Linked DNA regions of Drosophila melanogaster. The protein of the gene in region 3 binds, or shares a complex with, the protein of the main gene of each other region. Each region holds a gene or a part of one and is shown on either strand. Other genes may lie near its edges.

What was found.
Region 1: MED9 (region 3) and MED26 share a complex: the UniProt entries of both Drosophila melanogaster proteins name them as parts of the mediator complex.
Region 2: MED9 (region 3) and MED23 share a complex: the UniProt entries of both Drosophila melanogaster proteins name them as parts of the mediator complex.

Annotation. Positions count from the first base shown.
Region 1 is NC_004353.4:785,975-790,686, forward strand, and holds the start of MED26 (mediator complex subunit 26), read right to left. Parts: upstream 3,005-4,712; 5' UTR 2,921-3,004; intron 1,641-2,920; exon of another isoform or gene 1,478-1,640; intron 1,236-1,477; 5' UTR 1,173-1,235; coding exon 1,107-1,172; intron 1,053-1,106; coding exon 218-1,052; intron 1-217. UniProt on the Drosophila melanogaster protein: Component of the Mediator complex, a coactivator involved in the regulated transcription of nearly all RNA polymerase II-dependent genes.
Region 2 is NT_033778.4:22,887,375-22,894,929, reverse strand, and holds MED23 (mediator complex subunit 23), read right to left. Parts: upstream 6,003-7,555; 5' UTR 5,917-6,002; coding exon 5,878-5,916; intron 5,816-5,877; coding exon 5,722-5,815; intron 5,668-5,721; coding exon 4,703-5,667; intron 4,645-4,702; coding exon 4,558-4,644; intron 4,503-4,557; coding exon 4,300-4,502; intron 4,248-4,299; coding exon 3,871-4,247; intron 3,811-3,870; coding exon 3,636-3,810; intron 3,580-3,635; coding exon 3,091-3,579; intron 3,033-3,090; coding exon 2,706-3,032; intron 2,647-2,705; coding exon 2,423-2,646; intron 2,365-2,422; coding exon 2,282-2,364; intron 2,226-2,281; coding exon 2,078-2,225; intron 2,009-2,077; coding exon 1,351-2,008; intron 1,290-1,350; coding exon 1,149-1,289; intron 1,091-1,148; coding exon 781-1,090; 3' UTR 505-780; downstream 1-504. Other genes in the region: CG3700 (uncharacterized protein), read right to left, coding at 1-147, 213-465; Gmer (GDP-4-keto-6-deoxy-D-mannose 3,5-epimerase/4-reductase), read left to right, coding at 6,171-6,295, 6,350-6,464, 6,523-7,080, 7,137-7,304; asrij, read right to left, coding at 7,397-7,555. UniProt on the Drosophila melanogaster protein: Component of the Mediator complex, a coactivator involved in the regulated transcription of nearly all RNA polymerase II-dependent genes.
Region 3 is NT_033778.4:18,165,667-18,168,921, forward strand, and holds MED9 (mediator complex subunit 9), read left to right. Parts: upstream 1-1,588; 5' UTR 1,589-1,650; coding exon 1,651-1,856; intron 1,857-1,991; coding exon 1,992-2,055; intron 2,056-2,106; coding exon 2,107-2,271; 3' UTR 2,272-2,299; coding exon of another isoform or gene 2,300-2,472; intron 2,473-2,541; coding exon of another isoform or gene 2,542-2,626; 3' UTR 2,627-2,714; downstream 2,715-3,255. Other genes in the region: Nup75 (nucleoporin 75kD), read right to left, coding at 1-97, 159-1,321, 1,379-1,405; CG42518 (uncharacterized protein), read left to right, coding at 2,300-2,472, 2,542-2,626. UniProt on the Drosophila melanogaster protein: Component of the Mediator complex, a coactivator involved in the regulated transcription of nearly all RNA polymerase II-dependent genes.

The sequences.
Region 1 (4,712 bases), on a different chromosome or scaffold from region 3:
ATTGCAATTTAAAATATAAAATTTTTGAAAAAGTACACTTTTTGATTATCGAACTTTTTTGAAAATTCAGATCTCAAAGACTGGACGTGGACAAAAAAAAACTAATTGGTGGGCACACGATTCCAGCTTTCAAATTTCGAAAATTCCATTTTTCCGAACCCAGCTTCTTTGAGCTTCTGCAAGGATAGACACAAAGACAAATACAATTGAATCATACCCGAATCTGTTGTCAGAGCGGCCTGTTGAAACCCGTCGCTGGCTTTTGCACCAAATCTTGTATTTGTTGCGACCTGTCCTTCTCTTTCCTTACTTCTTTTTTCCTTTTTTAATTTGCGTTGCCGTGAGCTTGGTGTAGATGGTATTGGAAGTGGCGCAGGAACAATTGAGTTTAATTTTTTTGGATTTAACGAACCGTTATTGTCATTCTCATCGGAATCCGAAGCTATGTCAATAACAACTGAAGCTTCGTTTATCTTCACGGTGCTGTCATCGGTCAAGTTAATCACGGAATTTACCGAATGATCTATGACGATGGGCTGAGGAGAGGCCACGTGGCAACTTCGGATGGAATGCGAATGTCGCCGATCCTTGTGAGTATGCAATGTCGTTATAGCGATGTTTTCGTGGCGATCGCTATCTTTTATACTATTTACAAGGTTGGAGAAGTTCGGATGAAGTAGGGTATGTTCACCCGAAAGCGGAGGCTCCGCAGAGTCGATATTTGAATGCAAATCTGAAACTATTTGCTGCGAAGGAGCAATTGGTTCTGTAATAAAGCTGGTGATAGGGGACTTAACCAAATCTAATGCTGGTTGTGAAGATGAAATTTGACTGGGATGTGCCAAATTTTCAGTGGCTGTTTGCTGAATTCCTACCATTTCCCGCCACTTTTTCAGCAAGGATTTTGCACGTCGAGCCAAATGTTCATTCTTAGTCCTTCTTCTGAGCTGATTTATGTACTTAGCCAATCTGGTGGCCTCCAACTGCTCCTTGGTGATAGTTGTACCCTCCAATGCACATATGACACAGAGAACTGCGTCCATATTGACGACCTGAAAAGATCTTTACATTAACTGATTTGTTGATAAGGTAATACGTTTTCTTACATCGTAGTTTTGATCAAGTGCCTGGGATAGGTGAGTAGTAAGTTCCTGTATTTCGATTTGGTTCATTTATATCTTGCGGTGCGTAAATATTGCCCTGATCCAGATTCAAGGGACGGCGAAATGCAAATACTGTCCAAGTTAGAAAAATAAGGAAAGTAATAGAAAAGTAAGTAGTAGGTAGAAAGTAAAAAGTTATAGTGTATTCACTTCACGTTGTTGCAAAATAAATACTATTATAAATAGCCGTAAAATTGCTATTAAGTAAAGTTTAAAGACCCAGAAGTTCAAAAATTTTAATACCCGAGTTAGTAGCGTGTCTGTGAAACACTCATACCAATACAAAACGTGTATTGCTCAATCGTTATGCTTACAAATATGCACACTTCGAATGTAAAGTCTGTGCTTCCTGAGCGCACTTCCTTGAATATGAAAATTTGTATTTGTCCAAAATAAGGAAAATTAATAATTTATGGTTGACTTCCCGACTTTATTACAATTCGCCATTTTTACCAATGACAGCTGCACTTCAAGGGTGGCAGAAAATCGATAAGTATTTAACAATTATTATCGATATACTTTCACGTGAATTTCTTTTAACAGGAAGGCCTGATCATACTGCTATCAAACAGAATTGAAGAGGAATTGTATTATATGTGACATGAAAACCTATAGGAGTATTATATAAAGTAAACGTCCATTTTTGGGCTAAATGCGTGAATCTCAAAATGAAAAAAGGGTCAAATATACCAGACCAGAAAATGAAGGTTTTGTTGCTTTGTGGTTTGGATATTTTCCCGTTGTCCTATATATTTTGTAAAATATAAAACGATTTCGTAGATTCTCCGTCCAGTTACCCGCTTTACTTAATATGGAGAATATTAAAATATTGTTTGTTTTTTTACCCTTAACTTATTTTATTCGGACTAGCAATGCCGTTTTTTTTTTGTTAAGGATATATAAAGATTCTTAAACTCTTTCATTTCAATGCGAAATATTTGAAAAAAGTGTGTATATATAGGATTTGTACAAAACAAATGCTCTCGGTGTTCTTCAAAAACAAAAAACAAACAAATGGCTTACAATTACCAAACCCCATAACTTGGGTTAAGGGATCATCTCACAATTGAAAAAAAGTAAACTATAGTACTATCCTTCAGCACCAAAATCGAGTATATATTTTTTTCTTATTGCAAAACCTTTGGAAGCCTTTTGTATATAAGAATATATTTTACATTTAATAAGCAACAGAAAAAGAATATGTTTAATTTTTTATATTCACATTTTACCACAGCGGCTTTTTTTTTAATATGTTCTATAATATTATTCTTATTCTGAACCTCGAGCAGAAGAGATTTTATTGACCTTCCCGTCTAAGAACTGAGCTACCCCATGCTTATACTGTGTTTCCGTGTTTGACAAAAACCAAAACTGACTGTGTCCATATATATAGTGTAATTGGAATATAAACGGTTAGTAGTACTAAATTAGGAAGAATGCTTGTCCGATCCGTTCACACTGGTAACGTTAGAATACCGGAGAAAAACTATTATTACTTAAAATGCTAATTAAGTTTAAAAAACATTTTTGTATTTCAGTACAATAATAAAAAATTTAATCATCTCCGCTAGTGAGCAAAATTCAAATATAACGACAGTGACTCTTCTGCATATAAACTTGAGATTTGCAAAAATATAGATGCATCAACTTCATAAATTCACACTTGGCTGGTTTGTCGCTCTTACCGAAATATCCTGATATATTCCTTTTGCACATACATAAATATACTTATATTATATGTCGTTTTTAATACATACCCCCACATTAATCACACTGCACATGGTCTATTCAAAGCCATATAAATAACAAGATGCGTAACGGCCATACCAAAGACACTAGAATAACAAGATGCGTAACGGCCATACATTGGTTTGGCACTATGCAGCCACTTTTTTGGTGACGGCCAAAATTGCTCTCTTTCCGCTCGCTCACGCTGAGAACATAAGAAATCTAAAAATAGAATTTGCTTGCTTGTGTGAGTAAAAACAAGAGACGGGAACGCGTATATGTGTGGGTGTTGTGCTAGAAGACGATTTTCGGGCCGAAATCAATTCTGATCAAAGAAATGAATTTACATTGTACATATTAGGGTAGTTTTTTGCCAATTTCGTAGCAATATGATGAAATAAAATAATTTTTAAAAATTCGCGCCCTTCTTATTATAATTTTAAAATTTTAATTTTAATTTTAAAATTTTTTAATTTTAAAGCTTTTTAAATTCGTTTGTTAAAATCGCCGCTCGAATTAGCTACCGTTTACATATTTATATTTATGTTGATAATTATTTATGTGTAATATGTGTAATAGTCGGTACCCAGGGAACACTACGGGGAGGCCATTACAATTGTAATGGGGTCTTATATTTACGTATATGACCTTCGAGTCGACTTGAAATATTTTAATGTTTAACATTAAAACATTTCCATATTCCCCAATTAAGTTATTTTTCTAACTATTGTTTTTTATTATATATTGCTCGATTTTTCAGTCGTCAGTTATTTAAATAACGCTCATTTTTTTTATTCATGAGATAGAATGCTGAGCTTAGCTTGCTTTTTTTGTCTATCAGCTATCACAGTCCACTTACAATGCTTAAAAAGCAAAACTTTTATAAGTTTGTTTAAAAGATCTGTTCTATGTGCATAACATTCATTATTTTCATAAAACCATAATGGGAAGGCACTACTTTCATTTGTGCACTTAATGCATTGCTCAACAATAAATTTTTTTATACACATTTGTTTTTTATTATTTTTAAAAATATTTTCGAAAGCTTTAATGTGTATTTTGTAAATATTAAAAAATAAATCAGATGGTGCCCTTAATTTCCCGAAGTCCGATTCTATTGAGTAGTTTTTCTCATGTATAAAAAGCTCTGATGGAGCTGTTAAATGCTCGGTTTCTTTTAAAATTACCGATCTGCATTTATCGCAACTGGATCCCTTAGCAATATATCCAACAAAATATCTACTGGAAGTTAATTCAATGGGTACATCATTGCACAAAAAGTTATCTATATTTTGGTCAAAGTACCTCTCATTGTCTTGCACGATTTTGGAAAATGATACAGAGTATTCTTGTTGCTGTATTTCTTTTTTTTCAACGAAAGGCTGATATATTATCGAATCGAACTCTATTGGCAACATAACATCATCATCTGATTCGCAATTCGACTTTTGTGAAAATTTAAAAATGTGTAGAGATATGAGCTTGGCAATTATTATATTAAATTCGTTAACTGAAGGATTTCTGCAGTTACCACCTTTTGCTCGAACGCACGCAAATATATTTTCAAGGGGATCCTGGTTAACTCTACTAGTTAAAAAGAAAAAGTGGTCTGTGTGATCCTTAAAGAGATCTTCGACGAGTCCAAATATAGCTTCAGTAGTTTGGATCAAGCCATCAACACAATATATTTTATTCCCGTGATATTTAACGCTCTTTAGGTATTCCTGCATTTCCTTTAGTTTGTTCCAAACTCCATTGTTAACTTGGAGCGCGCATTTCATGGGGTTTTTGTCAGTTAATACTCTGCTATTCAGGCAATCA
Region 2 (7,555 bases), 4.7 Mb from region 3:
CCCAATTGATGTCCGACTTGGACTTGTTGGGCCGATGAGTGCCGATTAGGGCCATGAAGGGAAACTCTTTACCGGATGCCTTTGTGCCGCCCACGATGAAGGGCGTGGACTGGCAGGCGGATCTGACCTCGTTGTATTGCTTGCACTCTAAAAAAAAAAAACGAATATTCAAATTCCATCAATCGAAGGGAATTGTTGCAGTCACTCCTCACGCTTCTCAAAAGGCCTCGTCTGTTCGGCTGGCTTCAGATTCTGGTGATCCAGCGGTATGGGACAGCAGACAATGTCGTTGAACTCGTCGCAGTACTTGACTTCGGCTCCGATCAGGTGCTGGTTGTAGAATATCACTGGACAGTCGGAGGGCGTCAGCTCCTTGCACTCGCCCGTTCCATTGTCGCAGTACTCGGTCACCACGCTGACTGAAGCAATCAGCAACAGAATCTGGATTCCCGGAAGCGCATACATCGCAGTGCTCTGCGATCACAACTGAGAACGGCGCTCGAGGTGGACAAGATCACCAACTACAGGTTATCTACGAAGAGCTTTAAGCTGGGCTTATTAAGTCAAGCTTTTGATTGTAAAGCTGGAGGGAGGACTTGGGCCGACAGCTGTGACTTACAAAAAGTTCCCTTAGTATCTAACTTAAACATATCTGAGAACTGTTTACACATTCAATGGAAAATGAATAATGCAATAAGCGATAAAATATAAGATAATACTACTATAAATTAGGCTTATGTCGTTATGTCAGCTTGAACTGACTTGGGAGTCCCACAAAGTCTAATTGTGGCGCATGTTTTGCATGTGCTGATGCTGCTGCATGTGCTGCATATACATTTGTTGCTGCTGGTTGATTTGCTGCTGCTGCTGTAGGTTGCCACCGCTGCCCAAGGGAACGCTGGTTGTTTGTACTGCGTTGATTTGTTGCTGCTGCATCTGTTGTTGCTGCTGTTGCTGCTGCTGCTGCTGCTGTTGCTGTTGTTGTTGCTGCTGTTGTTGCTGATGTGGTTGCTGCGGCTGCTGCTGATGCTGTGTTTGCATTGGAGACTGCGTTTGGCTGGTTATTGCATTATTGCTGGTATTGTCGTTGCTGAAATTGGAAAAGTTATGTTTAAACCGAAGTAGAGTTTGAATTAAATGGCCCTTACATCTTTTCAGTGTGAATATCCTCCAAGTTAAGGTGGGTTATGAACCTCAGGCGCATTTGCAGCAGGGGCCGTAGCCGCTTAATGATGGCTTCCGATTCGTTCTTAATGATATTACCCACATGTATATACTTAATGTGATAGCTGAAATGATACAAACACATTTGTTTAGTACCCTTTCATGCGATTTTGTGGATTTGCTTACAGGAAATCGCAGATCTGGTCCATGTACTGCAGAGGCTTCGGACCATGATGCTTGTCCACGATCTCAAGAATTTCGTAAAGCAACACGGCTATGCCAGCCACAGCGTTCGGTTTTTCCAACTCTATTCGTTGCAGGAAGGGGCCAAAAACGTGGCACAAATACAGCAATTGTTGTTCGGTTCGCACGCACGGCTTTAGCTTCTCCTTGAGGTACCTGGTCATTGCCGCCAGCTTAAAGGCGCCCATGTGATGGAACACTGAGTGAGCTACTGCCAACACCACGGCGTAGGTCTTTTCTAGCATCGCCTCACGCACTGTCTTGAAGTTAAACAACTCGAAAGCATTGAATCTGTAGGTCCAGTTCAGCATATTGGGTGTGTTGAGCATATCCTGTAGGCGATCGTATATGCCGCTCCAGTAGGGCTCAGGCAAGGCAGCCAGAACAATGCCCACAGCATTAATGTAGCTGTGAATGTCCTTTTGCGGAATAACCGCATATCCGCTTACTATAACATCGATGAGATTGCTGGCCACCAGTGGCGGTGCCACCGGCAGACCCAGCAGCTCCACGCATGTCACATAGAGCGCATGGGTTGGCGCATTCGGGAACTCGTTAAAACGCCAATCGGTGGAGTAAAATACATTCTTCCCACTAATTGCTGCAAAATAAAAGGGGTTACGCATGAATATATGAACACATCATAGTATTTTCCCAAATCCTAGCTTACTGTCTGCAAGTCTCCTGATCAAACTCATATAGTAGCTCAATTCGGGGGTCCACAGCGAGTCTTGGCTTTGCAAATACACCTTGTACGGCTCACTAACACTCCAGTTGGGCGGCCGAATCTCGCTAAAGGCGCTGGTGATAGCGCCAACCTGGAACAACACAGTGTATTAGAAGAAGGGAATATAATATTCATAACAAATCTTACAAGTTTCTTCTTTAGCGCAGGGCGGTCTCGTAAGATTCGCTCATAATAATGGAGGGTGTTGTACAGATATGTTATAGGTCGATCTGCAATTTAAAGGGTAATTTAAAGTTATGAAATTCTCGAAAGCCACTTTTAACATACCGTGAAACTTGTAGAGTATGCTCAGATGATCCAAAATGAAGCCCAATATCTGGTGGACATTTGTAATGGTAAGTTCGATAAATCTGTGCACTACCACATCCAGAACGGGAAGGAATCGCAGACAGACATTGCTGAAGTACACGGGCAGCGGAATCTGTGAAGCTGACTCGTCCAACGCGAACTTCTCTGGATACTTTTGATGGAATGACAAGTGTTTGTCCTGCCTGAGAAATAATAACAACTATGCCTTTGTGCTCTTAACAAAATCAAGTGTCCAACTTACCAGTTGCTCTGCTTCCAGTGATCAGGATTATTGTCCTTGCAGAACTCCTGAACACGATTTCTCAGCTCGCTGGCTTTCAGCAAGAGCAGCTGAATTATGAGAAAGCAGACTTGAGCCTCGTTACCCTCGTGCGTTCGCAGAGCCAGGCAAAGCACAACCCTATCGATGGTCACAACGTTGAACTTCCAAATCATGTTGTTAATGGTGTCGACGCACTTGTGAATAAAGTCGCGGCCATCCGATGAGCTAGCTACCTCAGCCACCAAGTAGTCACAAAATTTACGCAGATGAGTGGACAAGGCTCTCGCGCTTATACCCTCCAAAATTCTAAAAAAAAAGGTATGGTCAGAAAAAATGATTGTGTTTAAATCATAATGTTACGCACTTGTAAGCCACTGGGCTTATGTTCTCCGTCTCCCAAATTATTTTGAACAGAAGGCAAAGGAATAAAGGATTCGTAGTTGGACGCAAGAAGTGCGCAATTATGTCATTCTCGTTGGTCATCGACGTCCAGGTTCGATATTCCTCTTCCACGGCCTTCTTCAACTGCTGCTTGTTCTCCGGAGGTTGGTTGTTCTGCGTAAAGTACTCGTTTAAGGCGGGCGGAAAGCAGGCTAGGGAATGCATGGGCCACGAGTGCGGCGTGTGCTGAATGATGTTGGAAAGGAAGTCCTTGCACCATCCCTGCATTTCATCGCCGCCACCATGTACGTGCATGGATCGAGCTAGCGTAAGAATAAGTACTCTGTTTAGCTCTTCGCTCTCATTAGACGCCACTGCTCCGGGAGATTTGTCGTTAAAGTAACGCGAAAACTGCGGCTGAAACTCGGCGGATCCAATGCTGGTGATCAGACGCAGTGCAGTAGATTCAAAACTATACAAAGGGAAGAACTTAGAAAGAAGTCTATACTCGATAAACGTATAACTAACCAGAGATTGAGCTGCATCTTGTTTGTCTGCGGCACGGAGGACAGAGAATGAAGGAGAGACAGCAATTGGACCCGGTAGTGAGTAGGAACATGGTGCAGCCGGTACGAAAACATCTCCATTAAGGTGTGCAGCATGGCCCACGCATGGTTCTTAAACACTGTTGGCATCAGTTGGCCTTTAGGAGGAAAAAAAACCATAAACATATTGTTTAATCACTTCAACAGGCTGTACTTACTCAGGAATCCCTTTATACCGAGCGACTCGATTTCTGTATAAACCAGAAGTCTGGCATAAGTTTCCAGTAGTGCAGCCGCTGGAACTTGACCCTTGCTTTGGGCCTGTTTTAACATCTGAGTTACGAAGCTGTGGATTAACGACATCTTACTGTGCACCGTCAAGCTGTCCAGAACCGTGACCGAAAAAGTTACGGCTGGGATTTGGCCACCGTTTGGAGATTTTGAAGTGCCATTTAGGGCATCCAGCAGTAGACCCATGGGACGCCCGAAGTACTCCTGATTCGTTGAGTATGCATTGCAGATGAGAATTATGCGGAAGTCGTTTCCTAGCGTCATGTTCATCATGGTGTTAGCCGTGACTAGGTGCTGCAGAAAGCTGGGAATTAAGCAGTTAGTATCTAAACACCAAAGGAAGTTAGAGGTATTACTCGTAGTGGTTTTTCAGTGCAATTGGCAATGGTCTGGTGATGTTCATGTTTTCCACTCGTGCCTTCTTCATCAGGTGAATCCAAACGCAAATGGGTGCCATATGGCGAACCATCGAGGATTTATTGATATCTGGCAGCTTAAGAGGCTCTAGCTCGGGATATAGTAGGTCAAACAATCTGAACACAGGCAGGAAATTGGTGATCTAAAATTAAAAGCGATTAAAAATAAGATCAATCAGGTGGAGAACAGGATCTTACAGGATTTTTCTGTATGCTTCCGGATATAAACTGCAACAGAATCCACATAAGTTGATCGCGACCCTTGCGAAGCTCCAACTTGGAAAGCTATAGGTGAAAAGTAGTTAATTACAAGAAATATTAATTTCATCCACCATGGACCTACCTTTTCGTGGAGCGCCAACACTATGTGCATAAAGCTTACGAACTGAAAGAGCACAAAGTAAATTAGTTGCGAAGAGAGATGCAGCCACATCCACTCGTAGGGCGTGATCTGCTCGTCTGAGGAGTTAAAGCCACTTCCCGCAGTGGCATCATTCGCCTCCGTCATCTCCATGGCCTGCACTATGAGATTAACCAACTGCTCTTCCAGGGCATTGTAGCGCTGCTTCTGATGCTTTTGCAGGTTCAGCATTTGAGAGACCATTTCCCTTGAGTACGGCTGCTCCAAAACGTAGCGGAGTAGGGGCTTCTGCTCTTCGAGCAGCTCTGGCTCGTAGGGCAGGCTACCCTTAAAGTTAAACTTCAGGGTATTGTGGTCCAGTCGCCAGGAGTTCATCATGTGATCGGCATAGCCGAAATGCTCTACGATGGGAAGCATGCTGGCATGTCCAATGATCGAAACCATTTGTGCCGTGGTGCGGAACTCTTCGACAAAGTCGGTCATCAGCCGGTTGAGTTTCCAGTGGTAAGGAAACGGACGCATAATCTCGTTGGCAATAAAGTAGGCGGGCAGCAGGCAATTGTTGCGATCAAAGATGAATCGCAGGATATCCTCAACGGCCAGTAGCTGTGGCATGTAGGTAACGTTGACGTTCAGCGGAAACCATTGTGCCTTGTCGCGGCATACCTTCATGATCTCGCGCACACCCTTGTAGTCCACCTGGACGATCACACGCTTGATCAGCCGGAAGCTCTCGATCCAGAAGGTCCTGTGCTCGAAGTCCAGTTTCTCGCACATCAGCACCTTGTCGCACAGCATCCTGGCGGTGATCACGTGTGCGTCCACCAGCTTCACCAGTGCCGCCATCAGCACTTTGATGTGATATCCGGAGGCACCGGCGGCACGCAACAGGTAGAGCCGAAGCACCTGCTCCCGGTTCTCCTGCGCCACGTTCCCAAAGGCGGTAACTGAAACAGATAGTTTTTAACAATTTTCGAGTTCCAGCAGACGCATTTACCTACCCAAATCATTGGCGAAGCGGGTAGCTCGTTCTTGCTCGGTGTTTGGCTTGAATACAATGACGCTAACGAACGCCTCGTCAAGGGAGTCGACCTTCTGCGAAATGGAGAGCGTGGATGAGTGGGTGATTTTTTGGAGACGCAGGGTTTCACTATTACCAGAAACTCGTTAACGGTGTCTATAACTTGCGTTTCCATATCCATTTAAATTATTTTTCGCATATCCGACACCGCATAAACAAAAACTACCTGGGCACAGTGTGACCAAATGGGGCTTAGTAAAGAATCTAAAAGTGGCTTTTTCTGATAACAAGAAATAGCTAAAGGATTAGATTAAAAACGCCAGGCAGGCAGCACTGACTGATTAGCCGGCATTTAAAGCAGCTGGTCGCATTGAGTCGAAAATTACTTTAGAAACTAATTGACTTGATTTGTGGAATCGCACAAAAATCATGAAGAAAGTTCTGGTTACAGGCGGAACTGGGCTGGTGGGCAAGGCCCTGGAGGCTGTGATCAAGGAGCAGTCCCCAGAGGACGAGCAATGGTTTTTTGCGGGCTCTAAAGATGCAGATTTGACGTAAGTCATGAAGAAATTCAATTGAACGTATCCGTAAACAAATTCTCTCCACAGAAATCTGGCCGCCACGCAGGCACTCTTCGCCCGAGAGAAGCCCACGCATGTCATCCATCTGGCTGCAATGGTCGGAGGCCTGTTCCACAACATGAACAACAACCTGGACTTCTTGGTGAGCTCCTGGTCTCACAGATGATTCCAAAACCCATTTCATGCGAATCCACTTTTAGCGCAACAACCTGCTCATTAACGACAATGTCCTGCAAACGGCACACGAGCAGGGATGCGTGAAGGTGGTGTCCTGCCTGTCCACATGCATTTTTCCGGACAAAACCAGCTACCCCATAGATGAGACCATGGTGCACAATGGGCCGCCGCACCCCTCCAATTATGGTTACTCCTACGCAAAGCGACTGATAGACGTGCAGAACCACGCCTACCACGATAAATATGGCCGGGTGTACACCTCGGTCATTCCGTGCAACATATTCGGTCCCCACGACAACTATAATCCAGAGGTCAGCCACGTTATTCCGGGCATGATCTATAGGATGCACCAGCTGGTTACGGAGAAGACTGACGTCCCCGAAAACGACAAGGTGTTCACCGTTTTCGGAAGCGGCATGCCACTACGGCAGTTTGTATACTCCCGGGACCTGGCGGAGCTGATGATCTGGGTGCTCAGGAACTACGAAAGTGTGGAGCCCATCATCCTAAGCGCGGACGAAGTGCAGGAGGTGACGATCTTCGAGGTGGCCCAAGCCGTTGCAAAAGCATTTAATTTTAATGTGGGTTAAAAAGCGAAATTTGAGACAAGGCAAGATATTAACTTGATTTATTCCAGGGAAGACTGGTCTGTGATACGAGCAAGTCGGATGGACAGTACAAAAAGACTGCGTCTAATGCCAAGCTTCGCTCCTTCCTGCCAGACTACGCATTTACGGACTTGGAAACGGCAATCAACGCCTCGGTTAAGTGGTACATAGAAAACTACGACCAGGCTAGAAAGTAATTGAATATTCCAACCCCAAAAAAAAATGTAAATAGACAACGAATTTTCACAGAACTTTATGCGCGTTTAATGTCCAACAAAATAACAATACCTTAATCAGTCCAGGAGTCGCCGTATTGGTTCTTCCTTCCAGCGGGTTCACTTTGTGCCTGCTCCACGGGTCGCTGTTGAACGGCAACTGGTGGTTCGTAAGGTCGCGAGTATGGACTCTGCTGGTGCTTCGAATACTCTTCTCGGTTCCTTCGTCGCAG
Region 3 (3,255 bases):
GTCCAGATAGTCGATGCCCAGTTGCCACATATTGTGGGACGTCATCAGATAGCTGCCGTACTCATAGATCATTGAGTGACGCAGGGCCGGAAGATCGCTGTGGGTGCATAAAATATATAGCATATTGATTGAACATAACTTCTGACAAAAAAACTCACATGTTGTTCTGATCGAAATAGCTCTTCAGCTGACCACAATGATGGATAAGATCAATCAAATGCGTTGAGAACCAGTGTGTGTCGTTAAGTTTTTGAGCATCGTATATAAATAGTCTAAGATCGTGATCCATAAGCTGAGAAACCATGCGGTTCATGCTGCACTGCTCTCTTTCCGGCCGGAGAAGACACCATCGGTTTAGCCATTTGGCTGCCGCTATTTTCAGCTCAAAGGGTTTGCAGGTGGGCTTGGTAAAGAGCAGGTATCCTGGCAGGTATTCATAGAAATCCTGGGACTCTTTGATGCCAGCATCCCACTGCTCGCTGTCGCCGGCGACCAGACGAATCAACTGCTCCAGCTCCGGCTCCGTGGCAAATAAGCCGGACTGAATCTTGCGTTCCGTATCCACGTGCCAGAACTCCCACTGCGAGTGAAACTTCTGCAGGGCATAGCCCTCTTGATACACTGGCATGGACTTCAGGATCTGTTCGGCCGCCTTGAAGCTCGTTTGTCCAGCTTTGCGATTCTGCGAGAGAACTGCTCTCGTAACATCTATTTCGCCCAGCATAATGAGTGATTTGACAATGCTCCAATAGTCATCAGATTCGCTGGCCTCCTCTCCCATGAGCAGTAGATCCGTGGCTCTGTCCTCTGCGTGCGGCGAGTGGAAACGCGCCCAGTCGAGCAGCTGCGGCACCACCAGCTGATTGCTCTGAATGTACAGAATCTCGAAGAGATGCCACAGGCATTCTGCCGCATAGAACACAACGATGGCATCACATAAGCGTTGCAGGCGCGCCTCATCTGTCTGAACCTCCGGCGATTTTTTTGCCTGCTCCAGCTTCTCCAGGCATGAGCGCACAATGCTCCTGTATGCCCGGGATATATTCACATACTCGGCACGTGTGGCCCGCGAACCCAACTGTTGCAGCGTGGCGAACGTGGCATTCGCCTCGGCGAGTACGCTGCGGAGAACGGGTTCGTCGAACAGCGTCGACTCCTGCGCCATGTAGATGAGCACCGGAACCTGTCCAGCATTCTCTGTGGGCTCATCCCGCGAACTGTGCGTCACATGCCGGTAGGCGCTGAGTGCGATTCGTGAGCCCGGCACAAAGACGCCAGTGAGTGTATTGCCACAGCGTGTGGCTAGGTCATCGCCAAGCTCCTAGATAGATTAAACGAGGTTTAATCTATTGAGTTTTTTATTTGTGCAGCTACTTACGAAGGCGAAAACACCGCTGTCGCTCATGTTGGCTTTATGTTTTTCTTCTTTATAAATTCTAAACGATTCGTTGCTTGTTATCGATAAGCAGAGGCGGCATTTGCCTGGCTCTATCGGTCTATCGTACTTCGATAGCAGGTTGTGCATCTACTACTTTTCCCTTTAGTATATTAATCGAATTAAGAGAATGTGAGGGCATTACTTTGGTATTATTACGTGTTGTCGGTAAGGTCCTATTGATTCTGACGCTGGAAATTCGATTCGTGTTTTTTATGATGGATTTGTCGCCAAACAATCAGATCGAGGACAGAAAACCCATCCTAACCGCCGACGGCCTGGTTCAGACTTCGAACTCCCCCTTCGAGCCGACCATATCGCAGGAGACGCAAACATCCAACGGAATCGGCGGCCAGTGCCATCTGACGGTTGACCAGTTGGACATTGAGATTCTGCCGATAATCTACGACATTGTGCGCTGGTGAGTGGTCATCGCGGATGCGGATTCCGGGTGTCATTGCCCCTGCACGGACAATGCCGAAAATCGGCGGATTTTAGCAACAAGTGCGCAATTAATGCCGCACCTTATATAACCTGGCGTCTTTGTGTCTTTCAGCGTGGAAAAGGATCCTCTGGAGAACGCCGTTAAGCTGCGCGAGTCCCAGGATTGCAACCACAAGGTGAGTCCTTGGTTCGTCATAAGTTGCCACCGCTATATACTTGATTTGTAGATCTTTGAACTTCAAAAACGCTTCGAATCGGCACGCGAGCAAATCCGCCAGCTCCCCGGGATCGATTTCAATAAGGAGGAGCAGCAACAGAGACTGGAACTACTGCGAAATCAGCTGAAGCTTAAGCAGCAGCTAATTCGCAAATACAAGGACACAGAGTTCTAGGCGGCAGCAAAATAAAAAAAAGGGCAAGATGGTGCTGCGACTGCTAATGCGCTACCTGGCCAACAACGAGCAGCTCATCCAGCGCATGGCGGAGAGCTATCCCATGAGACGCGCTGCCCAGTTGGTCGTTTCCCTGATGTACCGCACAAAAGACTTGGCCCGGGAGCAGGGACTGCACGAGATGACGCCAGAGCGTTTCAAGTGAGTGAAAGAATCGCCAGAATCATCTGGCTGAATCCGCCAATCTGACATGCATTTTCCAAATTGTAGATCCTTCGTTAACATGTTTAAGAACAACGTGCGCCAAGAGCTGGAGGGAGTGAAGAAGGAGCTTAATAGCAAGAAAAAGAACTAGGGTTCAGTAATTAACTTGTTTAACTACAATTGTATATACGCGGCAAGATAAATTTTAGTAAACACAGATGAATAAACATTGAAGCCAGAACATTATCTTCGGTGAATGAACCTTATTTTTGTAGAATAGGAAATTGCTTTTATTAAGGTAATTAGGAAACAAAGAAATCCTTATTCATTGCCATTTTATCTTAACACTTAAAAACAAAAGAGAACTTCAGATTGTCATTCTGAAACTATCGTTTTACAAAAAAATCAAATAATAACCTAATGTCTGCATTTACAACGCTTTCAACGTAATTTGCGTCAGCAAATTTGTTTTCATTTTCAGTTTGCATAGACATTAAACTCATCTTAAACTATAAGATTTTAATTTAAGATTCCAATTTATAAAGTCGTGTCTATTTAAGTTTATCGAGAGATAATTTAATATCATGTACACAAGTAGCATCTGGTTCAACCTGCGTTTATTCAGTGAAAAGACAAATGAAATCCATGCTGCAGTGACGTCGGTTGTCTTAAGTCTAGTGAACAAACAAAATATAGAATTTGGTTTGGCATATAGCACAATGTACAGTGGACAAGAACGGGACACGAAATAGTTTATTGGGGCACATGCCACTTTAGATT